Linked DNA regions of Mus musculus: all the other regions are reported to be linked to region 1. Evidence: microRNA targets listed by miRTarBase, many of them from high-throughput screens and not tested one by one. Region 1 holds a microRNA gene; each other region holds the end of a gene's coding sequence.
Evidence for each region. Region 1 holds the annotated microRNA mmu-miR-802-5p (UCAGUAACAAAGAUUCAUCCUU, at 6,613-6,634, opposite strand). A microRNA usually pairs through its seed, bases 2 to 8, with sites in the 3' UTR of a target mRNA and lowers its output. Matches are read on the target gene's strand: a 7mer-m8 pairs with bases 2 to 8, a 7mer-A1 pairs with bases 2 to 7 and ends in A, and an 8mer does both.

Region 1 (10,316 bases):
ACTTCACAATGGTCATCATAGCCTAATTATCGCTATGATTATTTTCTTAGATTCCTCATATATCCAATGGATATTGATGGTGCATAGGCCGTAGCATGGATATAGTAAATAAAGTGTCGAGAATCATGCTCATGAAATATTGATTCTTGCTCAGGTTTCTAGCAGTATACTGCTGCTACTACTACAGCTGCACCAGCTAGGACTTTTTATTAATTGATGTTGTCCCTTGGCAATTTTGTATATGTGTATAATGCATTCTGCCCCCCTCCCTCTCTCTTACCTTCTTCTTATCCAATGTTCTTTCCCAGTCTCTATCCCCCTACTTGCCCCCCGCCCCCATTTCCCAGATCCATGACTGCCGGTTTTACTTGTGACCCCATTAGGTTAACCGAGCCATGCGTGTGAGCACGGGACTGAACTCTCCAATAAAGCCTGGTGGGATCGGCAGAGGGCACACAACAGAAGCCATGGCTCCTTGAATCCATCGGTAACCAGTAGTCTTCAGTGGGTTGGGCTCCTGAGCCCTTCTCCCAAGGCCTGCTGCAGACAGGTCTGTGCTTGAGAAGACCCAGTTCAGGCACTGGAGGCTGCTGTGTATGGGGATTGTAATGGCTGTCTTTTGACTAGAAGATCTTAGTACACAGGCCTGCTTCCTACCCTTATCTGGCCTTTGTGTTCTTTCTGCCTCTTTTTCCTCAGTGTTCCTCAAGCCTCAGAGGGAATGGCCTGGATGTGTTGTTCAGGGCTATTAAATAGCTATCAGCGACTCTCCTGCAGTAGCATCCTGCCATTGCTCCAGGGCTTTCATGGTGAAGGGAGAAGTCCATAAGGGAAGTGACAGCTACATTGGCTCTCCTGCTTTCTCCTTTAGTCATAGGGCCTTGATCTATTGTCAGTGCTGGCCTGACATCCAGATTCAAGCTATCCTCTTGCCTCAGTTTCCAGAGCTGCTAGGACTACAGGTGTGTATCCTCGCCTCCAGAAAGTTTCCTGAATAGAACCTAGGGGAAGTCCCAGCCAGACTCACCGAACCAGTCCGTGACCCTGCCACAGCGATTGTGTGCAAGGAAGTGGGGGATTTCCTATTGTCCTGGAAGGCAGATGCCATTATTCACAGTGGATTTACAGGAGAGAGATTGTCTAAGTTGTGAAGAAATATTTGAAGAAATAATCTTCCCAGCTCATTTGGGAGGAGTGTTGTTAACCAAAAGAACAAACCCTGGGAGGGCACAGCCATTTTGATGTAGCAGTGGCTGTAGGGTGGCTTTGACACCTCTGTAGGGGTTTGCTTTAGCAAACTGCACTATAGAGTCTGAGCTAAAACTGCATTGCGTCAGTGGTGACATCCATGCTAAGGAAGTGGGAGTCATCTTAACAAACCCTTAAAGGGAGGTGTTCAGGTCCTAGAAGGGTGCTGGGGGGAAACAGGACAGGGTGGGGAGTGGTTCCAGGCTGTAGATTCAGACTGCTGGGCACGGATCCAGCAGCTGATGTGTGTAGGAGTGACCGGATGCTGCCTGTTCTTACCAATTCAGTTACAGAAAAGGTGTGTGTGTGTGTGAGGGGGCAGCAAGAGGGAGACACGGTCTTTCAGAGGTAACATGGCTCCTTCAAATCCCACGGTGAAGATGAGGCTCGCTAATGTCAGTGGAGTCTGGGAAATAGAGTGAATGGAGAGATATGTGGTCATAGGAGGGTCCATGTGTACTGCCTTTGCCATGAGTGTGTGTGTGTGTGTGATGTGTGCATGTTGTGTGTGTGTGGTGCGTGTATATATGTGGTGTGTATATGTGTGTGGTGTGTGTGGTATGTGTGTGGAGTGTGTATGTGTGTGAGTGTGTGTGTGTATGTGTGGTATGTGAGTATGTAGTGTGTGTGTGATGTGTGTATGTGTGGTATGTTTGTGGTATGTGTGGTGTGTGTGTGTGTATATGGTGTGTGTTTGAGTGTGTGTATATGTGTGGTATGTGTATGGTGTGGTATGTGTGGGTGGTGTGGTGTGTATGGTATGTATGTGTGTGGTATGTATGTGTGTGTGTGTGGGGGGTATGTGTATGGGGGGTGTGCATGTGTGGTGTGTATGTGTGAGTGTGTGTGTGTGTAGTTCTTTCATGACCATTCAGGGTTTCTGGGATCCATTTTAGGTAGTTTAAAAATGAGTAGAAATATCATAAGGAACATATTTATGCTCATGCACGCACACACGCACGCGCATACACACACACACACACACACACACACACACACACACACACTTCCCTGTGGGAAGCCAGCTGTTTGCTTTCCTCTTCTGAATGAGTGGAGTCCGTGGTCACACACCCCTGCAGGGATGACACTTCTGAGAATTAGGACAGAGAGAAACAGCAGGACAAAGAGCTGGGCTTGAACCGTGATCCAGGTGGAGACTGAGAAATCAGAGACTCCTGAAAACTCACGTCCTAGCAGGAAACAGATGGCATCCAGGTCTTGGTGACAAGAGAGTCTGTGAAATTGGCTGGTGGATTTGGGTGGGGAGGAGGCCATGCTGGGCAGAGGAAGCTATGGCAGAGCATACCCAGGCTCCTTAAAGTGAGAAGAATTCAAGTACCTTAGCCCCAGAACTTAACCCGTGGGTCTGGTGTGGCCGAGTGTTGGCCTTCTAGTTCATGAACTCATAGTCTCAGAGCACACAGCTTCTCCTGGTTAGTCCTTTACCGTTTACGGGTCTATCCGGCTCCTGAGACTGGCAGTTTGGGTGTTTGCCAATGTGGCTGTTTCCTAAGGTGCCTCTATTCTAGGGCTCACCAAATCGTCTGCTGGACAGACACCCCTTCACCAGCCCCTGGCCTGGCACAGACTCAGCTGACCATAGCCACCAAGCTGTCCTTCCTTTGCAGCTTCTGTAGTTTTCTCAGACGATTTCGTCAGCCAGCTTGGAAGTGGTACCTGGAATGCAGGTTCATATTTTCCTTAATGCACAATATAAGTGAGGTTAAAGACTTTAAGTGGGTCTAGGAGCCACTGGAGGTGCAGGCACCATCTAACTAAGAATGTCTCATCAGCTCTAAAACCTTGCTGGGCCTCTGTAAACACGTCAGGCGGAACTCCGAGCTAATGACAAGCAAAGTCAAGGAAGAAACACGATGCCTGACAGCATCCATCCACCTGCATCTAGAACAGCAACTCCTTTTTTCCCTGTCTTAATAATTCACGAAAGAGGAAAAGGTGCGGTCACTCTAGAGGCAGATGCAGTGGCCTTTATCAGAGCATCCGTTTGTCTTCCTGCTGTGACTCAGGTTGGTGGTAGCATCGAAACTCCTCAGTTTCATAGAGCATCATCTCGTGTTTAGGTCATCACGCCAGCTGCTGTGACCTTTCCCATTAACAAAATGTACGCATGGCAGTAAACGCAAGTTAAATTTCAAATTATTTGCGCAGTTGATCCACAGTGATCACCGATACGTGGGTGTATTCTTACAAAGTTGACATTTTAGGTAAAAATTGATTATGTAGGACTAATTTCATATTCTTCAGCCTAAAACACATACAGTGTGATTATGTTTTTCCTTCACAAACAGCAATAGCATGCACACTGTACCATTATATTAAATGTATCATGAATAAAAATACCTACGCTAAATGCCTGGCAAGCTAACTTGTAGAGCAGTCAAGTCCATGAAAGTCATCGTGCTGTGTAGAGAGTGGGTTAATTCTCTGAGGGGACTGAGATATGGGTTGGCGTGGACTAAGTTGAATTTCTCCCAAAGCCCCAGGTCCCGCAGGGCAGGGCCTATGGATGGGGCTTTCATTGCTTTATTGGCTTAGTGAGTGGTAAGGGCTTAATGAGTCCTAGAGAGATGTGTCTTTACAGGAAGGACAGTCTCTACGTGGGTGTGTCCTGAAGAAAGGACCCGAAAGGACACAGCAAGAAACTGACCCTTCACACAGCAGGAGAAACCCTGCTGGATCGTGACCCTGGGTGACAGCCCGCAGAGCTTCAAGAAAGCAAACATCTGTGGTTTAAACCCATAGTGTTTTGTAATACAGCTAGAGCTGACTAAGGCGTGAGACGGAAAGATGTCGCCGCCGTGGTAACGCCTGGGATTTGTGAATCCATGGTTTCCAGATGAGTAACTGCAAAGGTGTTGTGGCTGAGAGGCCGGAATGAGCTTCCTGTTAGAACACAGAGCAAAGGCTGCTGGGTTTGGTGGTCCAGCGGTGATGGTCACTTTCCTGCTGCTATGAGAAAACACCTGACCGACTAAGGCAACTTCGGCCTGGAAGGGTTTCTCCTGCTCAGGGTCTGAGGTGCAGACTGTGACAGTGGGGAAGCCATGGAGCAGGCACACCAGGTCGCTGCTCACAGTGCACCTGGCGTCAGGATGCAGAGGGGACTGAAGTCTGGCTCTCAGCTCACCCTCTCCTTTTCACACAGCCTGCGACCCTGGCTCCCATTGGGGTGGACCTTCCCTGTTCATGCAAAGCATTCAGGAAACACATTATAGACACAGCCAGGGATGTGTTTTGTGGTGATTCTAAATCCTGTCTGGCTGACAGTGCAGTTACCCGTCACCACACAGCGCCCATGTTGACCGATGAGTGCAAAGCCAGACCTTGGCCAAGCTCACAAGCTACTTTAGGGATGTGATTTGGCTTCTGCTGTTGTCCTAATAACTCTGTTTGTTGTATAGAATCTACCACAAAACGGCACCAGCCTCCAGTGTTTGTATTCAGACAGAGAGCAGGAGAACTAGGCCACTGGGAATGGAGACTCTGGGGTGTCCCAGATCCATCTGTCCAGCCTAGCGTTCAGCACAGGTGTATAGTATACGCAACAGAGAGGTAGTGAAAGGTTTTAAACAACCATGGAACACTGGCCGAAGGCATTATTCTCAGTGGATTTAGAGAGAGAGTGCCATGTGGTACAGTTCAAGCATGGCCTTGAAGAGGACGTATTTGGAATGGTGAGGCAGCCCAGGTGACTGCATGCGGTCTCTTCAGCAGCATTTGCTCTGACTGCGATGATGTGAACGACCTAAGATGGGTCTCAGATTTACCTGGTTCCCTGCGGAGAAGAGGCAAAGAACTCGGCCTCAAGTACTCACGTGTGTGTGCATGCATTTGTATGTACGTGTGTGCATGTGTGTGCATGCATGCACGCATGCATGTGTGGGGTGTGTGTGTGTGTGTGTGTGTGTGTGTGTGCTTGCGTCTATTCCCAGTCACAGTAATCTACATTGTCCTCAAGATTAAACATTGGTGTGGTCTGGAGAAATAGGTTAAGTGGAAACTGTGCTTGCCACTCAAGCATGCAGGCTTTAGTGCAGATCCCCTGAACTTGTCCATGCCATGATAACCCCCCCCTATAATTCTAGTTCCCAGAAAGAAAAGACAGAGTCCTTGGAGCAAGCTGGATAGCCCTACTGATTAGCCCTGTGGTCAATGGAGAGACCCTGCCTTGAAGAATAAGGTAAAGAGAGGTCAAAGGAGACTCCCACACCAGCACTGGCCTCCACACACGTGTGCTCCCATGTGTACACACACCTGCACACCTGTGTGCATGCACACACAAATGAACATGTTTATATATACACAGAGACTCGGATAGTATGCACACTCGGATAGTAAGCAACAGTACGCGTCAGAAAGAGCTTGGGGTGGAGGGATGCGGACACTCACTCTCTTAAACACTTAGGACTCTGTCAGCTAAAAATGGTGTGCCGGGATGAGGAGTTAAAGTCATACTTGCAAATAAGTACACAATGAATCCTCTTTAATAAAATGGTATATTTGTCACGAAGCACAGAGCCCAAGTTGGAATAAATTGTAAAGTTGTCCCAGGCTACGGTTGCCTGCCTCAGAAGGAAATCTCAGTGAGGGAGCGCTCAGCCCAGACTGGCCTTGGACATGTCTGTGGGGGATTGTCTTAATTCTTGACTGGCACAACAACTGTATACGGGACACCACTCCTCGGACCTTCAAGCCTGTGTTCAGTGCTGTCTTTTTGAAGTCTGAGCCTATTACCTTTCTCTGACAGGTTCCTGACTGAATAGGTAGCGTGGTTTGCAGTAGGCCCTTGTAGAGGCTACAGTGTCAGTGCATGAGTACTCATATGTGCATGTTAGTGTGTGGACAGGCAAGCGTACGTGTGTGCACACATGCATTTGTGCATGTGGAGGTTAGAGGTCAACCTTGGGTATTATTCCTCAGGCTCTGTCCACTGCCTTTGAGATGGGGTCTTCGCTGGTCTAGAGCTTGCTGATTTAGCAAGGCTGGTCAGTCAGCCCCCAGGGATCTGTCCCCTCTCTCTCCAGTGCTTGGATCACATGTATGTCTTTTAATGTGGGTTCCAGGGACAGAGCTCAGGGCCTCAATGAGCACTTGCTGACTGGGCTCCCTGCCCAGCCTCCCCAAACACACTCAGCTTACCTCACCTCCACCGCCCCTGCCACCTCCCCCTTGCAGCTGGAGTTCCATTGGCTTACTATGTCAGAAGGCAGCGCTTATCCACGAGAAACGCCCTCCGAGGACACCCCAGGCACGTGCGAACAGCGTCCTCTCATCTTCCCTTTCGAGGTGAAGGCTATTAATTACACTGAGTGACAAAGACTCTCCGTGTTGTATGATTGACACAAGGATGAATCTTTGTTACTGATTGCAAATAATAGGACCGCAGTCGGTAGGTTATGTAGAGTCAGGTGGGGAGCCTGTGCTCACAACCAGGCCGTGGGCAGGCAGTATCCTCTTCCGTCTCTGCCTGAGCTAGCGGCTGCGGGAGACAGAGCAGGCATTATCTTGCCACATTCCTTCCCTAGAAAACAGCCTCTGTCCTACTTTGCTTGTTCGCTCCTGGCACGGGGACAACCTGTCTCTTTACATTAGTTTAGATCTGTAAAGAAACAGTCATTTAGAAGGAAAATAGTCGGAAAATTCGGGCAACGATCCATCTTTAAAGTCGTAGCTGAATGATTGCTTTCTTATTGTGTGACTCCAGGGCTGCAAAAATCCCCCGTGTCTGTACACATGTTTCTCTTTTCCTATCTTGGATTTGGGTTTTCCTTTTGCTTAAAACACAGGTATGTGCCAGAATGAGAACTGTTAAAAAGGGAAGGTTTTCAAGGACTCCTAAAAATAGGACCTGCTGCCAACCACACAGCCCCCCAGTATGTAAATGGTCAAAAGTGGAGCAATGGAAAGCATATGTTACCGACATTCCCCTTAGAAAAAACAAGAGTCTGAGCTTGGCCTCCCGGCCCTGGCACCCTTGAACCTGTGGTTTCCATTTAAGCCTTATCCCAAGTCTGCAGCAATCATTCTCGGCATAGCTGACTTCTATCTTTTAATCGAGGCTGTAAAAAGCTACCAGGAATAGTTTTATTCTCCAAATGGGAACGAGTTATTTCATCACATCAGGCTGGGATTTGACACAAACCTTTCAAATAATTATCAAGGCTCAAAGGGGATCAAACACACGCAGCGCCCAGGCCTAGGTGGCTGCCTTGTAGGCCCAGGGCAAAGGAGTGGGCTGGGAAGGTAGTCCAGGGCGGATGAAGTAAGAAGCTATTTTTTGTTTGCCTTCGGTGGCAATGAGGAGTCACCCCGTCTTCTTCCTGGAAATAGAGCTCAGAGTGTACATACATTCATTAAAGTCAAAGTGCTCAACGGTAGTGAGGTTTTGCTAGGAACTCCTTCTGTGGCTATCCTAGGATGGACTGTGTCCTCTAGTCTTACAATTTCGAAAAGGCATCCTATGAAAAACCCACAAGAGAGTTAGCCTCTCCAATGCTTCCTTTTGTTTTCTGAAGAAAAGCTTTTCTGACTAGCAGGACTTATATTACTCATCTTGTTGACAAAGGTCCACAAACCTGCCTAGAGAGTGCATCCTCGGAGTGGAGCGCTCCTGTGGGGCTGAAGTCCTGTCCCTTGTCCCCTGGAGACCTCTCCTCCTTCCAGCAGGCTGTGGAACAGAGCTGGTCCCCCAGAGAGATGTCTAATCTTTCAGCTGTGGAGCTATCTTGCTTTCCCAGTTCTGGTTAAATTTTGTCTTCCGTATCTTGGTATTTCCATGATAGGCCATGGAAAAAGAAACTTGGAGAATGTTTCCCCTTTGCTGTTAAAAGTTGTGACCTTTGCTCACATTTGCCAGAGAAAGTGCTTATAGCACCAATTAACATGAATTATTAACTCCCGGATTAATAATTGATTAGCAAGCTAAAGGCCCGGGGCACCTGCCACATCACACTATCGAGAGAGGAACCTACGAAACAATTTAGATACAATTAGAACAGTTCAGGCAGGGCTTGGCTTAAGTAATGACATTTTGGCTTTTTAAAGGATTGCTTATTTCTCCTCTACTGTCATGTGGCCGGAGAGTCAAAAGTCACAAATAATTCATAGACTGACTCATGTGGATGTTGCCTTTAAAATTTTCCTTTTACAAGTATCTCTGTACCTCTTTCACTGTATTAACCTCTGTCTGAAAGGGCTCATATGGATTCTGCTTCATGATTATCACTGGAACTAGTGTGTGTATGCACATGTGTGTGTCTGGCGTGGTGTGTGTGCACATGTGTATGGTATGTGCATGTTCATATGTGTGTGTGCAGCAGTGGTGAATCTCAGCTATTCCTCATGAACCTTGTAGCTGGTTTTATAAAGACAGAGTCCATCATTGGCCGTCTCTGCCTTCCCAGTACTGGGATACAAGCATGTGTACCCCACCGCACCCAGGGTTTTGACATGGGTTCTGAGCATGGAATGCAGTCGCTCATGCTTGCTGGGCGAGGACTTTACTGACCAAGCCTCCAGAACCAAGTCTACAAAGGCATTCTTTTAATGTGTCTTAATAACTTCAGAGGCCCCAGTGTATACTTTGCTGGACGGACCCAAGGACCATGGACGGAGCTGACTAAACTGCAGGCATTTCTTCACGGTTCTGGAGGCCAGAATCAGATTTGGTTACTTTTGGTCTGTGAGGGAGGGGTCAGCTATGGACCTCTGCCCATGGGTGATCTGCTCCTGGCCTCTCCTTCAGGCTCTCTTCAACCTTTTAAAAAGACCATTTTAAACATTTGTATTAATTGTTTCGGAATCTTATACAATGTATCTTGGTCATAGTCACTCCCCTCTCTCAGCTCCTCCCAGACCCACCCTTAGTTTCCCCCAGTTTCCAGTCAGCTCCCGACCCACAGCAGTATAGGACTTGTCAGAGGCTGTGGCTGAGGGTGGCAGTACCAGGGCGAACCTGGTGGGGAGGGTAGATGCTGAATTCCCCCATCACATGCCTGCCTCACTCATAGGACCCAGAAGCACCAAATGCCTGTCACTGCCAAACATCCACTGCAGCATTCCAAACACAGCTCTGTAGGGAGTTTGATTGTAGCCTCTGTGTGTGTGTGTGTGTGTGTGTGTGTGTGTGTGTGTGTGTGTGCATGCCTGCCGGTGCATGTACACATGTGCACATGAGTCTAAGGTCAGGATTTCAGCAGCATTGGTTCCATTGAGGGATAGGAGGAGGAACATGTTCCAGGCTTCACCCTTGGCTTCTGGAGCTGCTGCCAGTCTCACAGAGGGTTTGGCCCACAGTATAAGCCACTCCATTGCGTATGGTCCTTGGGTACATCCAACCAAGTACAAGCAGAGTCCTCTGAAGTTTTTATCATTTCCTGACAGACGTACCCTCCCTGTGACGTAAAGGCTGAGGCAGGTGAGCCTCTCCAGTCCCCTTTCTGTTTGTGGTGGAGGTAAGTCTCAAGGCTACAACCTTTGTGAGTTGTCCTTATGGCACCAAAGCCAAGAGGGACTGGTGAAGCCCAGCAGCCCCACCCAGGGACGAAGGTCATTGAGGAGCCATTTGTTACAGCAGGGACTTTCTGAGAAGAGGAATTAAACCACCTAATCCCATTTCCTCTGATGACAAGTAATGATCACGGGGCCCCAACTTCTGGAAAGTGTGATCCCTCAGCATGTTCCCACAGAGATAAACAAAGTTAAGGAAGAGGTTATAAATGGAGCCTGAGCCCGGAGGCCATGACTACGTGACTCAGGTTCTGCCCTTCTCTCTAAGCGGGTCCCCAGCCCTCCCTGATTCTGCCTCAGCAGCTCTGGAAGGCAGATGGTGGCAAAGCAAGGGTTTCTTCCCCTTTGTCCCTGAAGTGTTGTAGGAAGCTGTGATTAATGGATGCCAAAAAAAAAAAAAGTTTACAAAAAGTGCACTCCTGGGTAATGGCATTGCTTGGTGGCAGAATGTGTGCCTAGTGTGACTGAGGCCCTGGGTCTGAATCTTAGCATCAAACAGAAAAAGATGAAAAAAAAAAAAAAAGATCATTCTTGGGGGT
Region 2 (10,316 bases), not on the chromosome of region 1:
TACGCAGATTATGGAAACATCGAAACCCTGCCTCTTTCCAGAGTGCAGCCCATCCCAGCCAGCCACCTGGAGCTGCCCTTCCAGATCATTAGATGCTCACTAGAGGGTACACAGTTCTGTTGCTTTCTAGATTTGTGTCTGTGGAATTTTTTATCTTTATATTTCATAGCTCTAAGTCTGAATTAAATGGTTTATATCAGACTGTTACCAGTGTTCTGGGTTTGGGCTGGGTGTTTCCAGGTTCTTGGCCTCTTCACGGAACTAGAAAGTCATGGCATACATAGACCTGCAGAAGTCTCAAAGGGAGCTTTATTCAGAGCAAGCGACAGTGCAGATTACAGAGAAGCACTGTCAAGAGTAACAGTGGGTCATATTCCCGAGACCCCTCGGGGACTCTGGTCATTGTATGGGGCTTCCTTTTCACGTTCACAATGCATGCATAGTACTCGCAGGTAAAGGAAGGAGGCTGCCACGTGTAACACTTCAAGTGGGGGTTATGAACAGTCATGTGGGGCCATGTAGCTAAATTATCCTAAATTATTTGTAGTCAAGTGGGGCTGTAGCTAAATTATCCTTAGCTTGCCTTCCTCTAAATATCTTAGCAAGAGTTTTCAGAGAAATTTTGTCTCCTTTGTACTTTAATTCTTGTGAAAACTGCATTCCATCTGTCTCTGTATTTGGGGGCTTATCTTCAGAATATCAGGGTTTGGAGACTGTCTTTCTCCTCTTGTGCAGCTCTCATGGCAAGTGGCAGGGTGTGAGCCCAAGACCGCCTGCTCTGTCACAGCTCCCTATAGGAACCAGGGGATGTTTCCTGGCCTCATTCCAGCCTCCTCACTCTTCTTCTAAAGCAGCTTGTGCTTACCTGTCCACTGCCTACATGTCCACTGCCGGCCTGCTCACTGCCTACCTGTCCACTGCCTACCCGTCCACTGCTTACCCGTCCAGTTGGAATATGCAAAGAACAGATAAATGAGAATGCTTGATGTGGCCCTGTCCTGCTTTTCTCAGAGATGATGACAGTGACTCTGTAGCATGCTTGGCCTCTGCACTGTCCTTTCCCACCAGAGCCCATAGGCATGAGCGTGTCTGTTCTGTGCCGTAAGCCTCGGTAGTGCATGGTGCCAGCCACGCCAGTCTCCTTAGACAGCGTCCTAAATATCTTCTACAAGAGACATGGGGCTGAGAGCCAGCTTGTGGTTAAGAGCACTGGTGGTTCTTGCAGGACCTGGGTTAACATCCAGTACCACATAGTGACTGGCAACCACCTGTATGTAACTCCAGTTCCAGGGAGGCCAACACCACCTTCTGACTTCTGTGGGCAGGTGGTATACACATATATACGTGCAGGCAGTACACTCATACACACAAAAGTAAATAAAGAAAATAAATCTTAAAAACAGGACACCTGTGAACAAAGCTCAGGGTGTGACTCTTCCAGGGCCGATGGAGCTGAATGGAAGCTGTTCGCAGTTAGTGATGGAGCTGCTGAGAAATGCCATGCTGAACCAGAGTGTGGTTCTCTCTGTGAAAGCCATTTCAAAGAATGTCCACGCAGTGTCAGTTGAAAAATGTTCTGAGAACGGAATGATCAATATAGCTGAGAATCTGGTGATGTGTGGCCTGGCAGAAAACCTCACTTCTAAAAGGAAAAGTGCTTCCACTAAAGGTACTTTCTTAAGCGTAATACACAGCAGAGGTCGTTTTGATTGTCTCTCTCCTCACGGCTTCAGTCCCCACCCTCTCCTCCTCCTCTGCACTCCTGTGGCAATTCAGCCTGACCTGACCCAAGGTCAGGGACACTGGTGCTGTGGGAGTCGAGACTGAGAGCTTTGGAATGGTTGCAACTGTGCCTGTGCCTTTCTTCGGGTTCTCTTTGATCTGAGCAACAGGAGAAGTCTTAGAAGACCTAAGACATCATAGAAGACCTAATCTTTAGATGGAGTGCTGGTCTGAGAGTCCAGGACACACACAGCACATGACTGGGTGGGTGATGTCCTGGGGAGTTGACACTTAGACCCCGACACACAGGTGCACGCGGGCTCCCTCACTGCCATGACCTAGGCCTGTTTTGTTTGTTTTTGCTTCTAGAGATACCACACAGCAGAGACTGCTGTTGCACAGAGTTACAGAAACAGGTAGGTGCAGCTCCTACATGAAGCCACACGCTGCCTCACATTGAGAGAGAAATCATACTGTCTCCTTTGCATCCACAGATTGAGAAACACGAACAGATTCTCCTCTTCCTCTTAAACAATCCAACCAACCAAAGTAAATTCACAGAGATGAAAAAGCTGCTGAGAAGCTAAGTAAGTTTCCCGTTTCCCCTTCTGTGATGCACCCGACTCCAGGTGCTTATGTGAAGCCGTTTCTTACTGTTTGATTTGAAATTGCTCACATCGTCAGTATGTGAAGAGACTTGTAAAGATGGTCATGAGGTGAAGCTTAGCCTCACACTGTGTCCAGACTTGACGTCTTCTCAGGCCTCACTGACTCTGTCTGCTGCAGTAGCTTTAGTCCTGAGTCTGGGCAAGGATAGAAGATCGAGGAAGGTAGGCACTCTGTCACCTGTGACACTGGAGCAGGCTGTGCTGTGCCACTGTTCAGAGAGAGTGTGCTGGGCCCATCCCAGTAGTTCCCAACCGTGTCTTACTGTCAGGATCCCCGCAAGAACAGGGGCCATCAGAAAGTAGTCATGGCCAGCAGCCAACTGGAACTTGTGGACAAAATGAGATTACCCCACTTATTCACCCCTGTGTGTGTGCTGGAGGGGTGGGGTTGGTGCAGTGTCAGCCCAGAGCTGGCTCTTCCATGCTCCTGCAGCAGCTCCTGGGATTCCCTGGGCTGTCGCTCCTCTGGAACAGCAGTGCTGACTGAGTGCGCACCTCTGCTGAGTTTGTCCCTAAGGAAGCTAGCACCTAAGCTGACACCCTGAGCAACAGTTCCTTCCCATTGTCGTGCCTTAGCATCTCTATACTTGATTTCTGTTTTGTGTGCTTGAGCTTAAGATCTTGAATTTAATGAAGATTTTAACTAGACCGACTGAAGAGCCTGCAATGACACAGGCTTCTGGGATTAGCCCAGCTAATTAATCATTTGTACTTTGGTCTATTCATCTGTGTAGTGAACTCTCCTCAGAGAGATACTGAGAGTGCTCATATAATTTAAGATAAGGCTGCCATTTTCAATTGTTTCTAGAAAATTAGAAAGCCTAGAACGGTAAATGTTTGAATTTAAAACATAACACACGCTAGTTTCCCCCACACAGCACTGTGTACGGGGCTGGGCCTCACATTGCACAGTCCTCACAGCATCCTTGAAGCAGAAGTGCAGGGCAAGGTGTGTGCTGTCACAATCCCAGCACTGGGAAGTGGAGACTGTGGCTCAGCAACTGCTGGCCTAACTTGCTCGTCAGTTCCAGGCCATTGAGAGACTCATGTTGCATAGTAAAACGGGAGGTGGGAACAATCTGAGGAAGAATGGCACACACCTGTGGGCAGAGCTGAGTGCACCTTGCTCCCTATCCATATACTACACACATTTGTAGCTCCCTGCCCCCACCCCCACATGTAGTAGAATGACCTTATTGTCTGATGAGGAAGCAGAGGCTCACGGTGTCCATGCAGGCTCTTGGTGTGCACCCCACACCTCACCCCCTCTTGCAGGCTGGAGCTTACAGCTGACAGGGGAGGAGCTGTCCCAGCTTCTGGGTATGCCCTGGGCTACAGCCTCTTTCTCGGTTAGTCTGGACCTGCAGGGCATGGAATGAGGAGATAACATAGGTACTCAGGCATTCTCTTCTCATTTGGGAGGAAAATAAAACTGGATATTTATTCTCACCTTACTTAATCTACTTCCAGATATATGTGTTCCAAATGTTAAGGCTTTTATAACTACTGTGTTGTGTGGTTTTCGTTAGTAGTTATCAGCCAGGTATTAGTCAGCCTGCAGTGCTGTCTTGGGGATTTGAGGCGTGTGAGATGTGGAGTTAAGATAGCTTGGTCTAATAAGACCCTGTCTAAAACCATATGTACATAACAAAGGTGTTGCTGCATTATAAATTTTGTAAATAGAGGTGCTAACATTGTTCTTAAAGGGATGACTAGATAAGTTAAAATGAAACTTGTTTTTATATTTGGAAAGAGCTACAATAGCTGCATTTTATATTTGTAGAGAATATAATTCACTCTGATTAATGCCAGTATCGATAAAAATTAAGCACTGTTATGATGCTGTTTAATTTTTCTCTGCCACGTATAATCTGAATGTGTGTAATTTAGTTTATCTGGCTTGCCTGTACTTAGAACTGAAGTTAAGGGCCATAGTGATTCTGTGTAAACCATAATGATGGCTGGTTTTTCTCTTTCAGAAACATCATCTCTTGGAAATAAACACTGGGAAGAAAGAGACAGCAAACGCCAGACCTGAGAAAGAATTGTGTGTGTGTTTTGTTCACTAGAATTGCTGCTTCCTCCTCTTTCCTTAGTGACTTTTAGCCTCTCCGCTGTGCTTGCTTACTTTGTTCTGTCGGGTTTGCTGCCCTCTCCCCGATTCTTTCCACGAAATACATGAATCTTACAGAAGAGATTCATGTATGAGCTAGGCGCGGTGGTGCACACCTGTAATCCCAGCCATGAGCAGCATGAGGCAAGACCTCAGGCTCAAAGCCAGCAAGGGCCTAGTTAGATGCTTTCTCATCACAAACAAAACCAAAAGGACATCAAGATTCAAAATGTATGAGACGACTAGGAAAGACTATGAGGTACCTTCTGCTAAGAGTGTGTGTGTGTGTGTGTGTGTGTGTGTGTGTATGTGTGTGTGTGTGTGTATGTATTTGCTCTACTGAGTATAGAAGCTCGAGCCTCTCATGTACGAGGCAAGCTCTCCTCTTCCTCTGAGCTACAGTCCCAGCTCTAGCATCTCTTTGTCTTGACAGTGCTGAAGAGGAGGAGGCTAGGTGTTGCATGGATAGGTGTGGTCGGTAGCTGGGTCTTAGCACTGTTGGTACGTTCCAGGCCTTTCTTTGCCAGTGGGACGCTCCCTGTCATCTGCTGCCTCGTCCCGATGCGCTCTCTTTGGTTCCTTGCTTCTGGGTGGCATGTTTTCCTGGGTAACTTGTGGCTCACTCCAAGGATGTGCACTGCTTCTCTCAGCTGTGCTTGGATGGCTTGGCTTTTCATCTTGGATCATAGTGTGTCCACAAGCTCCAGCCTTGACACTAGGAGGACTCCAGAGGGCCTCCTGGGATTTTTTTTCCCACTAGTCTGTAGCCATTCAGACTTATGCTCTAGAAATAATTCACTGTCTTCTCAAACACAAATTCAGTCATCAATTTAAAAATGGAGAGCACATTTGTCATACCTCATGATCAGAGATTGTCCTAACCGTAGCCATGTGCAGCAGAGTGTGCCTTCCTGACAGCCCAGTAGTCTCTCATACTTGTCCCACAGTTTCAGTGCCATGTGGCCCTGTGGTAACCTAATACGACATCATCAACTCAACGTTGATAAGTAAAACATTGACGTGGGTGGGTTTGTTTTGTTTTCCTGTTACTGGCAGTGTGAGTCAGCTCCTCTGTTGAGTCGACCTTCTCATGTAAAAAGTTGCTTGGATGTTGATGTGTCTCAGACAGTTAAGTTTGTCCTGATTCAGGCAATAAAGCCACTTGTTTTCACCTTGCCCTTCTGTGCTTACTGCTGGCCTTTTGGGGACCCCCTTGTCCATCCACAGATGCTATAACACCCACATGGCTACAGGTGGCTGTGGAGCTGTGGCAAGGACAGCCCTTGCACCATGAGAAGCCAGACAGCTCTTGGAAGAAACCAGAATCCCGAGTCACATTTCACTGCTTCAGATCCCACGTGGTCCTAGAAAGGTGACTAGAAGTCATTAGAATTTCCTACTTGGAGGAGCAGCTCCTTTCCACGAGGTAGAATTGTCACCTGAAGCCAGTCTCCCAGGCAGTGCACCACAGTATTGAGTTTTATAGCTCACACATTTTAATATGACAGGTACATGTTTTATTCCACAAATATTTCTTGAACTCCAGCTGGGTTCCTGACGTTGTGATCAATATAAACTTGGATGTGTCTGTCAGCAGATGACTTCCTGGACAGAGGCTTGTAAGTATCAAGGTTTCAGGGAACATCCCTCAGGAACCAAAGGAAGCTAGTCTGCTGTGTGCCTCAGGCTTCAGGTCAACCCAGGGAGGTGGGGCTAAGGAACCAGAATTAAGAGCGAAGTTATCATGGGAACTTAGGGGGCAGAAATGGAGAGAACTGTGCTGTATACACAGACACGGGTCTTTGGGAGTGTGACTTTTAGCTCAATCAAGTAAAGAGTTTCTGTGAAGGCAAAGGTTTGAGTCTGCCACGCTCCCTCAGCACTTACAATGGCCAGCTGTTGGTACCACACTGGCAACACTTGTTGGGTGTTGTCACCTCTGTTATCTGGATCATCTAGCAACCGGTATGTGTTTCAAGTAGAGACGGCTATACATCTTAGAGAGGGCTGGGGGCCTTCCTGGAAGATTCTCACCAGAGGGGTGAGAACTGTCTTTGAGTTTCTAAATCCTGGATGTCGGCACCATTGTTGTGTTTTATAAATAGATACCAGGGATATGTTTGGTGGAGGTACAGTAGGGTATGGGGGGAGAGGTGCCTCTGCAGGCCCATGCTGAGGCATCCCTTCCCCCTGAGGCACCAGCCACATGACGGATAGAGTTTGGAATAGAGTTTAGGGCATGGGGAGGAGAGTTGAGGGGGTGATAGAGACAGAGAAAGGCGGGGGGGGGGGGGAAGAGTAGAGGCCAGCCATTAGCACACATGGAGAGGGGGGAGGGTAAGGGAGCAAGAGAGAGGGAGGGGCAAGCATCCCCTTTAACAGTAAGTCAGGCACACCTGGCTGTTGCCAGGTAACTGTGGGGCAGAGCCTAGACTAAAATGCCAACAACTGTTTGCACCACAAAGTTTTAAAACTTTTAGCTTCACTTGAAGGTGAGGCCCACTGCAGACCAGCTTGCTTTGGAATGTGGGCGATGTTGTCTAAGCCTTTGTTCACTGCCACTGCCCTCAGTGTCACAGGAAGTCCTCACCTTGGCAGGTCTGTGGTGCGCCTAGATTTGCTTTCCTTGTGGAGGTGAAGCATTCGGGTGGTCAGTAATTATGACACCATCCTCCACGAGTCAAGATCTCAAAGGTGAAGCATCTTGTCTGCATTACAGAACCAACAGGCTGCAGAAATGGCCGAGGAACACCACCTTGCTGTCTCCAGAGCCATAGTCATTCCACCACGCTCTTGTCTCAATCGGGTTGAAGCTCTCACCTGGACTTAGAAGTGTTTGTGTGTGTATGTGTGTGCAGCAGAAACACTACAGGGCAGTTTGTGCAAATGCACTTTAAAAGAGCAGTTACTCAGCCGGGCAGTGGTGGCACACACCTTTAATCCCAGCACTCAGAAGGTAGAGACAAGGGAGTCTGAGTTTGAGGACAGCCTAGTCTACAGATGGAGTTCCAGGACACCCAGGGCTTTACAGCGAAACCTTGTCTTGTGAAAAACAAAACCAAAAGCCCGTTACTCCCCATTAGTAACCAAGCATTGGGGCCAAAAAGACAAGGCATCGTCCTGAGCACAGCTGGAGCTTTGGGTCATTCCCTGTAGACTTAACACATGAATCTTCGAAGAGGAAGCACTGTCCAGCAGCTGCGGAGCTTCTGAGACAAGAAGCCTCTGCCACCCCGAGTACCCTCTGATTGTCCCCAGAGCCCCTGGGCAGGACAGGTTTGTGAAAAGTTTGCAGCAACTGTTATTTCTGAAGCAGACGGTACCACTGGCTTCCCTGGAGCGTTAGGAGTGGTAGGACAGCACACAGGCAAGTGCTACATACCCAGACTATGCTGAGACTTTAGTTATGAGGCGAAATGTGAAGTCATTCCAATTAGGTAAAAAATGTTAGGTGTGGTAAGACTCTTGGTTTGCTTCAAAATATTATGGAAATATGTTTTCATTTTATCCCAGATAAAATGGACCTTTGGCTACTTTGTGGGTTCTTCTTTCTTCCACCCTTCTCCCCATTCCTACTCCTGACTTTATTTGGGGATTTTTCCTCTCTCTCCCATCATAGGGTGTTGGAAGGGAGGGGTATGGGGAGAGGGAAGCGTGGAAGAAAGAAGAATCCATAAAATAGCCAAAAGTCTTGCCATAGTAAGCCTAATTAGGCAGAAGGGCAGGGAGATGGTAAGCCACCACTGGAAGGGTAGGAGGCTGTCAAAGGTGCCTTCATAAGGGCTGCTGTCCATAACAGCATGGGCCACTCACCACAGGTACCACTGTTCAGTGTGTACACTGTTGCATTTTGAAGGCTTAGTACAGTATGCATTGATTGCATGTAGAAACACGTGGGGCATGTGGGTTAATTTTAAGATGACTTTGCCTGTTTTTGTCCTTTGTATACCCACTAAGACATTTGAAATTCCACATGTGCCTTTCATTTCTCTAAAATCTGCTGGTATGGAACTGAAGCCCTCTCACCCAGGAGGCAGGCTCCCCCACTGATCCCACACTTGCTGCCCTCAGTGCTACTTGGAAGCAATCCTGGGTTACTTTTTGGTGTTCCAGTTAATGGTATTGGGAGGGAGAACTGAGTGAAGAAAGAAACATATAATAACCTTTCCCCTCTCCAGTGAAGTTTGCAACATCAAAGCTGCCAGGTGCCAATTTCCCCGAAAGCTCTCAGACAGGACGAGTTGGAAACCATCCGAGAACTACAGAATGAAATGCAACAGAGAGATGTTAAATACAAAGAATGTGTAAAAATACAAAATGGAGTATTTACCTGGCAGGTTGGCATTTACAGGAATACTGGGGGAAAGCGCAAAAAATAGGGAACAGATGAGCTTCCTGGAAGACAGTTATGTTAAAAACAACAGACCTTGGTCAGGGAGATAGCCTAGCTGGCAAAGGCACTTACTTGCCCTCAAGATTGCCAATGTGATTTCAATCTTCAAAAACCATGTGGTGGAAGAAAAACAAAATGAACAAAAACCCAACAACAAAAAACAAAACTCCCCCCAGATCCTCCTATGTCTTCACATGTGATGATGCACCTGCACACACAAACACAAGTGTGAAAAATGGAATTCTTGTATATAACTTGTAGTCTAGGAAATTTACTAGTTTCCAAATGTAATTGGGCCGCCCCACCGAGATACCTGATTGGAGTGTTAAACTTAAGGCCTCAGCATTAAGCAGTAGCAAATGGTGTATATAGGTAGAGCAGAGTTACAACGGCCCAAACTGCAGATGTTCAACTCAGGTGTGGATGATCAAGCATCAATGGAAGAAACTAAGGTTTTGAAGGAGGAAATGAAAGCTTTTCCCCAGTGGTCTGCAGCTGAGTACCAGTGGCTTTTCTATTTGCTTTCTCTTGTTTTCTATTTTGTAAACTTTTCCAATGAGCACACAATATGTAGTTTTGATTAAGTATAAAAATGATTTGAGGGTTTATCTGCACGGAGCACCTGCCAGAAGGGACACCGTTGTTTGTTCTGTGACAAATACCTGGCACCCTCTAAGTTAAAAGGCGAATGCTGCCCAATAACCACTCACCTGCAAGAACTAACAGGCCGGTTGGCAAAAAGCAGAAGACAAATGGAAACGATGCCAAAGTCAACATTTCCTCAAGGGTGGAATCGATAAAACCTGCGGAGTAGCCAACACTCTCTGTGACCACAGCCGCACCGCTTGCAGCGGCCAGGTCGCTCGGAAGTGTTGATGATGCTGCGGTCCGTGGGTCGTGGGTCGCGGGTCGCCGGGCAGGGCGAGGGACGAGGCGGGCGCGGTTCCCTGGAGCAATAGTTGCGCCGCCCTCACGCCGAACGTCCGGATCCTCACAGGCTGCATCCGAGCGGCCCGTCCCGCCTCTGCTGGGAGAGACCAACAGGTGCCCCACGTGGCTGCGAGCCGCAGCGCCCCCCGAACGGAGCCCAGCCTACGCCGCGGGCAGAGCAGCTGTGCGCTCCGCGGGTGGGAGCCCACGCCTTCCAACAACTGGGGCGGGGCGGGGCGGAGGACTGGGCGCACCCTTGCCAGTGAGCGAGCGAGCGTGTGGAACCCCAGGCCTGAGCCCGCGCCCCTACCTGCCCAGCCAAGCCGAGTGCCGCCGGCTTTGTTCGCTTTGTCCTCGCGCACCTAAGCGGCCGGCCTGGAAGAACGCCATCCCGGAGAGCGCACGCGGCGTCGCACCAGGTAAGGGGTGCTGGCCTGGGAGGTGGGGGCCGGGGGACAGGCTGCGGATGGAGAAACGCGAGCGGCCTGGC
Region 3 (10,316 bases), not on the chromosome of region 1:
ATTATTTCAAAAGTACTACACACACACACACACACACGAGTGAAATCAGGGTCTCTGAATACAGGCTCTAGAGTAGCAGAGGAGATCTACATCTTGAGGTGAACTAACATGGCAGAACACCAGAGATTTAAAAAAATGACAGCAAGATACAGAGACATGGGACAATGATGCTGTAAGAGGGAACAAATCTCTCAGCTGCTACCAACTAATACCTATGGACAGAAAGAAGGGACTCCTCCCTTATGTAGCGATTGGAATGACAGAGTCCTGACATATTTGCGCAGCATGGTATCTGACATTCTACTTCTTGGATACTTCAGAGCTCTCTCCTGCTTGCAGCCTGACTAGATGAGAAACCTCAAATATTTGTAGCACCTTTTCAGTTAAAAACAATCATGCTGAGTTCTGTAGCCAGAAGGGACCTGTTGTCTACATTTGACTGCCAGTTTGATTTCCAGAAACCTGTAACCCCCTACTTCACTTAGTGGTTAGTTGCCTCATGAGCACAATAATGACTCAGTAGAGTGATTTTTGGAATATTTTATAATTTGGAATAAATATGCATATGTCAAATATGTCTATTACCCCAAACATAAGTATGGAAACTTTAAGGTATATTTTATCCAATTTACAAAGAAAATGTGCTTATAGCTGTACACAAATAATTATACAAGTTATTCTAAGGAGTGTCAAAGGGAAAATTAGCTAATCTATTTCTGGAAGCTTATGAAGTCTTTATGCTTTAACTAAACCAGATCAGCAAATGAAAAGAATGTGAGGCTAAAGAGATGACGCAGGTGTTAAGAGCACGTATTGCTCCTGAGTAGGGCATAAATTTATTTCCCATGACCCAAATTAGGGAAATCAGAATTTTACTCCATCTTCCTTTACTCCAAGTTCACAGATATCCAGGACTCATTAATTAATTACCTACACTGTGACCCAACACATTCACATAGATAAAAATAATAATATTATAACGTAAATTGACCACTATATATCCAAAACTTAGCATGAAAATTAACAAATTGAATTTACTAATATGTAAAAAGTGACCAACATGACTAATTTTAGACATCCAAGGATTTCAATAGCAAAATTGCCTATTGTTTTAACACAGTATACAAATGCTGAAAAGAAAACTTGAAAAGTGACTCTGCAATATTTTATGCATGTGTGTGATCAAAATTTAAGCAAATAAAACAGGAGCATTCCCTTAACCTGACATAGGATTTTATTCAGTCAGTATATAGGAGAACAGGCAATAATGACAGAGGCAGCATGGTGGTGGAGTGGGAGGAGGCTGGCCACTCCCAGGAAGCCTCAAGTTGTAGAAGGTCTGAGCATGGTGCTCACATTCATGGTAGAAATTCATTGTCAGCTAAAACTTTCTGAAAATATTCTTGTAGACACACTGAGAGATGAATTTCTATAATGTTCTTAAATCCAGTCAAGTTGACAACAATGCCAGCCATTACCCAAAAAAAGAAAATACATTTAAAATTCTATGATAGAAATGTTTTCAGGCTGGAGAGATGGCTCAGGAGTTGAAAGCACTGGCTGCTCTTTCAGAAGTCATGAGTTCAATTCCCAGCAACCACATTGTGGCTCACAACCAACCATAATGGTATCTGATGCCCTCTTCTGGTGTGTCTGAACACAGTGACAGTGTACTCATATACATAAAATAAATAAAATCTTAAGCAGCAACAGGAACTACATACATGTAAAAATAAAAGAAAGAATTAAAAAGGAAATGTTTTCAACATGTCAACTAATAACTCAGCAAAGTATATGTATACTTTATATAAAGTATATGGGAAAATATATCATATAAAGAATATGGGAAAATAATCCCCTAATATTTCTCTTTGAAGAATAAATGATGATCTGTAAGAATATACAAAATTGACTTTCCCTTAACACATTGAGATGTAATACAGATTAGTTCTTTTCAATAGGCGCATTTACCTGGGGTTGCCTGCTGCTCTAAGAGGAGCAAGCTTTCTCCCTGCACTCTTCATCCTAATCCTTATGAGGAAATTCCAATTCCCTGGGGACATCGACTCTTCAGACACAGATCCTGCAGAAATGAAGCTCACTGCGAAGGAAAGCAAGTGCACAAATGTGCACAGAAGTCCTACGATGCAGAATGATGGAGAACGGAAAACTAAGCTGTGATGAGGTTTCTACTGGCCAGTGCAAGGCCAGAACCAGAACGCACATGTCACTAGTTTTGAATCATGAGAAGTACAATCGGAACTCTTATCTTATTCTTAAGGCCTTCAAAATTACTTTACTCATGATAAAAAATATTTACTGATAGCATTTCCAGAAGGTTGGTGTAGCACTTAAGATTTTCCCAGGGAAAACTTCTGTAGCAAACCCCCACCCTTAACATTAAAGCTGCCTTCATTTTCAAAAAGTATGTTCTCTTTTAACTCAAGGGAAATGGATGTTTCCCACATATCTTCAAATAAGCTTGAAACTTTTCTATTGCAGAAAGACTATTTAAATGTTTTTCATTTATATTTTGATGCTGGAGGTATTTAGAGCTCAAAATAGGCAACTTTGTTAAGCCACACTGAAATAATTTGTTTTATCCTCTGTGTGTGAAAGATCTCTACATCTGTTGTTATGTACTTAGGAGTGCTAACTCTCTCTGCTTTACTCTAGTCAAGACTTCCAAGGTTAGACTCTCCACAGTGGCCATCTCCTGTTTTCAGTCCCTTCTTTCATTACTCCTGTCACACAGTTGGTCATTTCTTTTGCATCATTGAAAACTTTAATCAGGTTGTTAAAAATCATGTAGCAAAAATGATTGGAACTTTTTTCCCTAGCAATTCACAGCTGGTCATGAAACTCTTCCTTAAAATCAAGAATGGGAGAAAACTAGTCCTTTTAAAGGCTCCTTGTCGAGATGGGCTGTATCTCGGTGGATATGTGATTGCCTAATACATGTGAGGCCCTGAGTTCAACCACAAGGTAGAGTAAACTGATAAAGTAATAAAAATCACTTGTCTAGATGTAGTATCAGATATTCTGAGAAGACTAATTCTCATATTCATAGAACTTTGACGGCTCAGTGTTCATTCTATTAACGAGCCATAGAGCACATGACTATTAACATTAATAATAACCGTAGAGTAAAAGCTTTCAAGAGGGACCAGCTAGAAGGTTCAATGGAAAGAACTGTTTGCCCCTCAGCCTGACAAGGTTGTTGTGATCCCTGGGATCAACATGGCAGGAGAAAAGAACAAACTCTTGCAAGTTGCCCTATGCCTTTTTATTTTAATTGTGCATGCCCCACCAAAAATCAATTAATAAATGAAAAAATTTGAAAGTTGTAATACTGACTTTTGCTATAAAACTGGAATTCATAAACTTGAAAGTACACATTAGAAAACTAGTTGTGGTTGTTTGAATGAGAAATATCCCTCTTACGCACAGACATTTGGACATGTGGTTTCTAGTAATAACTCTGCTTAGGGAAGATTGGACACGCATCTTTAATATGTAGGAGGGTTCAAAGCTTCACCCTACTTCCAGTATAGTTTCTGCTTTGTGTTTTGGGTAATGATGTGAAATCTCAGCTTTCTGCTTCAGTCACAATGCCTGGTGCTTTCTGTCATACCTCCTTGCCATGAGGGACTTCAGTCCCTCTGGATTCATAAGTCAAAATAAATGCCTATTCATATGTGTTATTTGTGGTATTTTATTGCAGCAGTGAAAAGTAACTGATACAGAAATCATCTTATTTTGTGTTTGATAAAACACAGATTTTTTTTAAAGGAAAAACAAGCTTTTCTATTGTTTCAGAACTATGGCTCAAGATATATACATAGACGTATACAGAGGGAAAGGTGTTGGGGGTTGCCAGGGGACGAGTATCTCTTTCAAGGGCTTATTGTCATGGACCTAAATTCCCCCTATAGGCCCCATATTTTTTTAATGCTTCTACCACCTTTCAATAACACTAAACACTAAACTGCACATTTGCTACAAATGTGTAGGGGTCTAGGTCCAGCTCCTGTATGTTCCCTGCAGGCAACTTGTTACATGCAGCTTTCACTATCCCACCCAAGCTCCTGGGATAGGCCTAAACTCTGGAAACAGGCTATACCCAGATTCCCTTGAATACAGGGATAAAAGACACAGACACACAGTTGTTCATTTTCAACTTGCCTTTTGCCACAATTGCTGGGTGCTACTATCTACTGTCTGAAAAAGTGTGCCCTTATCAATATTCTTAGCTCCATACCTTCCCACTTGCCCTCAATTTTAGTTGTTCAGTTACATCTAATCCCAGCAAAATATTTCCTACCTCCTGCCTATAGGAGCAGCCACAGGCCTCCACTTTGCCTGAGATCTTAAATGGCTGTTTGGCTTTTCTCTCTCTGAAGCATGGTGAACTCACCTCTCCTTGCATCCCTCTCTTACCCACAGAGACCCAGAACTCTCACCTATCCCTTTTGCCCAGCAATTGGCCCATGACTTCTTTATTGACAAGTCAAGAACCAGTTTTTTAAGAAGCAGGACCTTAGCATCAGAACCACCCCTAGAGTAACCTAGGTGGCCCATGTTATTTGACTCTGTGGGGCTTCTTGTAGAGTGCTTAACTGCTCCTCACTTCTATTCCCTATTCTTCCACAAGATTCCTTTGGCTCCATCTGATGTTTGTCTGTGTGTCTCTGCATCTGCATCCATATGCTGCTAGATAAAGCCTCTCCGGTGACAGATATGCATAGCAGAGGATCATTAACAGTGTCAGGAATTGGCTCTTTCACATGGAATGGGTCTCTCGTTGAGCAAATCACTGGTAGGTTGGTCTCTCTGTATCTATTCCATCTTTATGTCTGCACATTTATAGGCAAGACAAATTTTGGGTTGAGGGTTTTGAGAATGGATTGATGTCCCCTCCCCCGCCCTCCTCTGGAAATCATGCCTGGTTACAGGAGGTAGCCATTACAGCCTCTATATTCACCTCTGGTAGGAGGATTCCAAGCTAGATTCATGCTGTAGACTCTCCATATCCTCTCCCATCCCAGGCTTCTAGCTAGTCACCAGAGATGCTCACCCCCATTTCCATTCTCAATCCCAGCCACTCTCCTCCCCATACCTGATGGCCTTCCCCATTCCCTTCTTCACCTCCCCTGCTACCCAAGTTCCATCTCTCTCTCTCTACATCTCATTACTATTTAGCTCTCCCTTCTGAGTAAGATTCATATATCCTCCCTTGGGACCTCCATAGTACACAGTTTCTTTGGGTCTGTGGATTGTAACAGGTTGTATTGTATTTGATAGCTAAGGCCCACTTATAAGTAAGTGCATACCATATGTGTGTTTCTAGCTTTGGATTACTCTGATCAGGATGAAATTCTACCCATTTGCCTGCAAAATTCATGATGCCTTTGTTTTTAATTGCTGCATGGTAAACCATTTGTATAGATGTACTACATTTTCTTTACCATTTCTTCAGTTGAAGGACATCTAGATTGTTTCCAGATTCTGGTTTTCATGCATAAAGCTGCTATGAACACAGTTGAGCAAGTGCTCCTGTGGTATAATGGAATATTTTTGGGGTATATGCCCAAAAGTAGTATAACTGGGTCATGAAGTAGAGATATTCCCATTTTTCTGAGAAAATGCCAAATTGATTTCCACACTGTACGAGTTTGCACTCCCACCAGCAATGGGAGTGCATTTCCACGTTTTGTATCCTCACCAGCATGTGCTTTCACTTAAAATTTTGATCTTAGTTAGTCTTATGTGTATAAGTGCCGCAGACCTTCTGGGTCCCTGTGTCTGCGTGGAACGGGGTCTCTCGATGCGGGTGGGCAAAGCGTGGATGAGCGACAAACAGACACACACACAGGAGAGTTCATGTGGAATCTGAGTGTAATTTTACAACTCGAACATCAGACTTTTTATGCAGAGGACAATAAGGAAGTTGGGTGACATATTGCAAGGTACAATTGAGGTAATCGGAATCTTACATAAAACAGAGGAATGCAAACACAAAAGGTCTAACGGGAACCACCCAGGATAGAATACATTGATAACAGCTGGGATCAACAAGGGCTCCACCTAAAATTCACTAATCTTAGAAGCCAGGGTCAAGGGCTTCGCGTCCTTGCCATAGTTCCTATTTTAGTCTCTTGTATAGTCCACCTTCCCCTTAGGCCATTGTAAATACGTGTGTATGGGTGTAACTCTGCTATAGTATCTATTCTGGTTTCTCCTTTGGTCTGAAACTTCCTTCTTCCTAAGTGATGGTAAATTCCTGTGTTAAGGGAGTGACTTAGCTTTTACAATCTTGCTGAATTCTAAACCCTTGATCTTGGTCAAGGATGCCCTTGGACTGTTGGAACACTGGTGGAAGGCTTTAGCAATGTCAGAGCATTTAGAATAGGAAAATACTGAAAGAGAGCACATGGATCCATACTCTAGACTAGTGTGGTAATGGAACTCGGGAATGAAAAATTAATGTATGGGTAGAGAACACTAGACTCCAGGAGGAGAGCTTCCTTGAAACTCTTTTGCCTCATGAGTGACTTTTAAGCCTTTCGGCTTGTCCAGTTGACTCGACCGGAGAGCGTAGCATATAAGAAGGACTATCAGGGTCTTTTTTAAAAAATTTTCCTGGTGAGTAAGGATACTGAACATTTCTTTACATGCTTCTTGGCCATCCAAGATTCTTCTGTTGAGAATTCTCTGTTTAGTTCTGTATGCCATTTTAAAAATTGGGTTATTTGGATTGTTGAATTCTAATTTCTTGAGTTCTTTACAAATTTTTTATACTAGCCCTCTGTTGTATGTAGCATTGGTAAAGATCATTTCCCAACTTGTAGGCTCCTATTTTGTCCTATTGATAGTGTCTTTTGCCTTATAGAAGCTTTGGGGTTTCGTGACGTTCCATTAATCAATTATTGGTCTTAAAGCCTAGGCTGTTAGTATTCTGTTCAGGAAGTTTTCTCTTGTACCAATGAGTTCAAGTCTATTCCCCACCATATAATCTATTAGATTTAGTATATCCAGTTTTATGTTGGAGTTTTTGGTCCACTTTGACACAAGATTTCTGCAGGGTGACAGATATGGATTTCCTTGCTTTCTTCTACATGCTTACATCCAGATGGACTACCACCATATAAGATGCTTTCTTCTTTCCATTGTTTGGTTTTACCTTCTTTTCAGAAATCAAGTGTTCATAGATGTTTGGGTTTATTTCTATGTCTTTGATTCAATTCCATTGTTCAACCTGTCTGTTACTATACCAAAACCATGTAGTTACTTATTGCTATTGCAGAGATGTTTAAATAGTTTATTAGATCTTGATTTAGCTTTGGTAAGTGGTATCTCTCTAGAAAACTATCCATTTCATTAAGATTTTCCAGTACCATTGCATACACTAGCAAGCCTTTGTTGCTATATGCTATATATACCATGATATAGCTGTCTCTTGTGAGACTAGGCCGGGGCCTAGCAAACACAGAAGTGGATGCTCACAGTCAACTATTGGATGGATCACAGGGCCCCCAATGGAGGAGCTAGAGAAAGTATCCAAGGAGCTAAAGAGATCTGCAACCCTATCGGTGGAACAACATTATGAACTAGCCAGTACCCCAGAGCTCTTGACTCTAGCTGCATATGTATCAAAAGATGGCCTAGTTGGCCATCACTGGAAAGAGAGGCCCATTGGTCAGGCAAACTTTATATGCCCCAGTACAGGGGAACGCCAGGGCCAAAAAATGGGAATGGGGAGGGAGGGGAGTGGGGGGGGCACTTTTGGGATAGCATTGGAAATGTAATTGAGGAAAATATGTAATTAAAAAAAAAAAAGAAAGAAACTTGGGGGAAAAAAAAAGATTTTCCGGTTGGGGGGGTACATGATTTTGAAGTAAGACCTAATGATTATTTGAATTTCCTAGCTGTCTGTTGTTATGGCTCCCTTTTCCCTTCTGATTTTGTTTATTTGGACACTGTTTCTTCTACATTTTGGTAGTTTGGCTAAGGGTTTGTCTATCACGTTGATTTTATCAAAGCACCAGCTCTTCATTTGAATGATTACTTCCATCATTTTCTTTGTTTCTAACTGATCCATTTCAGTCTTGAGTTTTGATTATTTCCTGCCTTCTACTCCTCTTCTGTGTTTTTGCTTCTTTTCTTCTGGAGCTTTCATTGGTACATTTAAATTGTTGGTATGAGAACATCCTAATATCTTTATGGATATTTACTTAGTACTATGAGCTTTCCTTTAGCACTGCTTTCATTGTGTTCCATAAATTTGGGTATGTTGTGCCTTCATTGTCATTGAATTCTCGAAAGTCTTTAATTTCAGTTTTTTTTCTGTGACCCAGAGATCATTGAGTAGAGAGAACATTTTCAGTTTCCATGAGTGTGTAGGCTTTCTAGAGTTTCTGTTGTTGAAGTCCAGCTTTAAACTTTGGAGGGTGTTTTCTTTAGTTTGTTTGTTTTGTTTTTGTATTTGTTATTTTTTTATTGTGATACTTTTAATGGCTGCCTATATTTCTTTATGGGTTCTTGACCTATCTAAATAGTTTGTCTGATCTTGATTTAAATTTTGCAAGTGGTATTTGTCTAGAAGATCATCAGTTTCATTAAGACTTTTCCATTTTATGGAGTACAGGTGCCAGGGGCCATCCCCACTGGGGTCTTCTTTCTTGTTGGTTCTTCTTGAGGTAGAAGAGGGGGAAGAATATAGTGGAAGATAAGACTTGTCTTACAAGGTATTTAGGGTTGCTGTAAAATAACAAAAAGTTTCCTTATCTAAGTTTCTTTGCTACATAGCTGATCTGCCTTCTCTGTTCCTCTGAGGCCAGAAACTGCAGTAGATTAAGTAAAACAGCAGGAGATTAAGTAAAGGATCGATTGATAGAATGGTTTCCATTTTGTCCAGGTGTCTCTTGCTTGTCTGTCTAAAGTAAAGTTTGGAGCAATAAACTTCTATTGAACCAGGAAAAGAGACTAATTCTTGCAGAAGAAAAAACTTTTACATAATCAAATATGCATAAACTCACATAACTTCAAATACAGATTCACTTAAGCACATTTATACATTTCCACTCAATTGATTAGGCCCAACTTCAATGCCTTCTCACAATTACATACTTACACACCACATGCATAATTCTCACAGTTACATACTTACATGTACACATCCATACTTACAAATGCATATAGAGCAAAAGTCCAAGTGCCAGTGCAGAAAGAACTCACTCATTCTGGATGAAAAATGAGCTCCAATCTTTATTGCATAGAGGAAGAAAAAACTTCTACCCTTTTTATGCTGAATGAATTAACCCAAGCTTGTAAGAAAAAAATCTTTGTTCCATTTAATAAGATTAATCCTGATTTGTTATTAAGAAAGGACCCGCTCTGTCCTGTGGTAAGGAGAAGCCTGCCTGCTCCTTCTTCTCTCTGCAGTTCTTTGTTTTTTTTTTTGTTTTTTTTTGTTTTTTTGGTTTGTTTGATTTTTTTCTGCATTCAGCACATTGCTTTCTTAGTTTTTTGTTACCCATAATTTCTAAGTTATTCTATTCTGCATTCTCCTTCTAATCTTGCTGTCTCCTCCTGCTCTGGTGTCACAGTGATGCTCTTACTCTCAATGCCTTTTCTTCCAATGCTATGCCAATACTTCTAAGGCTTTTTTTTTTTTAGTTCAGTTCTGTCTAAAAGTTTCTGCCTAAAAAAGTTCGCATCAGCTCAGTTCCTCTGACTCTTCTCTTTTTCCTCAGCACTTAACCATCTTTCACAATACATGATCATGTGTTAAAAAGTTCATCACAGTGTTAAAAAGTTCATCACAAGTTCACATAAAAAATCCAATCATGAATTGAAATAGATGTAATATCACAAGTTTACATAAAAAATCCAATCATAAATTGAAATAGAAATAAAATAGAAGTTTACAACACAGAATGTTTACATGCATATCCATTAGGAGTAATTATCTGTCTAAACATCCACCACCTGTCACAGCTCCACAGGTTTGTAGAAGGTTAAAAACAATAACTAAGTTATTAGTCAAGTTTTGTATAGATAAACCCAGTCAATATTTTATCTTCTGTAATAAATAGTTCCCTTTTAAAATCTTTGGTTAATTGTTTATAACCTCTTGGAATGTGCCCTGAGTATGAGAACTATCTAAGAGCAACAAACTGGTGACACATGGGAGACTGACTGAGTTATCCTTGCAATTTTGACTATCACAAAAGGACCTAATAGCAGTACCACTGTAAAATAGCTTAATAATCACTGGTATAATTTTAGGAATTCTTATAGGATAATGATTAAGA

Region 2: the mRNA of Tdrd1 is a reported target of mmu-miR-802-5p. Seed matches in the 3' UTR shown: 7mer-m8 at 5,549-5,555.
Region 3: the mRNA of Slco1a4 is a reported target of mmu-miR-802-5p. Seed matches in the 3' UTR shown: 7mer-A1 at 2,317-2,323.

The regions. Positions count from the first base shown.
Region 1 is chr16:93,366,055-93,376,370 of GRCm38, reverse strand. Mir802 (microRNA 802) reads right to left here and starts at 6,651; the gene lies at 6,555-6,651.
Region 2 is chr19:56,864,334-56,874,649 of GRCm38, forward strand. Tdrd1 (tudor domain containing 1) reads left to right here. Exons shown (of 26, transcript NM_001002238.2): 22 at 1-106; 23 at 1,442-1,669; 24 at 2,092-2,138; 25 at 2,217-2,309; 26 at 4,370-5,679. The coding sequence ends at 2,309. Vwa2 (von Willebrand factor A domain containing 2) reads left to right here and starts at 10,083. Exons shown (of 14, transcript NM_172840.2): 1 at 10,083-10,245.
Region 3 is chr6:141,798,826-141,809,141 of GRCm38, reverse strand. Slco1a4 (solute carrier organic anion transporter family, member 1a4) reads left to right here. Exons shown (of 16, transcript NM_001355577.1): 16 at 1,962-3,702. The coding sequence ends at 2,181. Among named protein-coding and RNA genes, the nearest start is that of Gm5724, 26 kb to the right of the region's middle.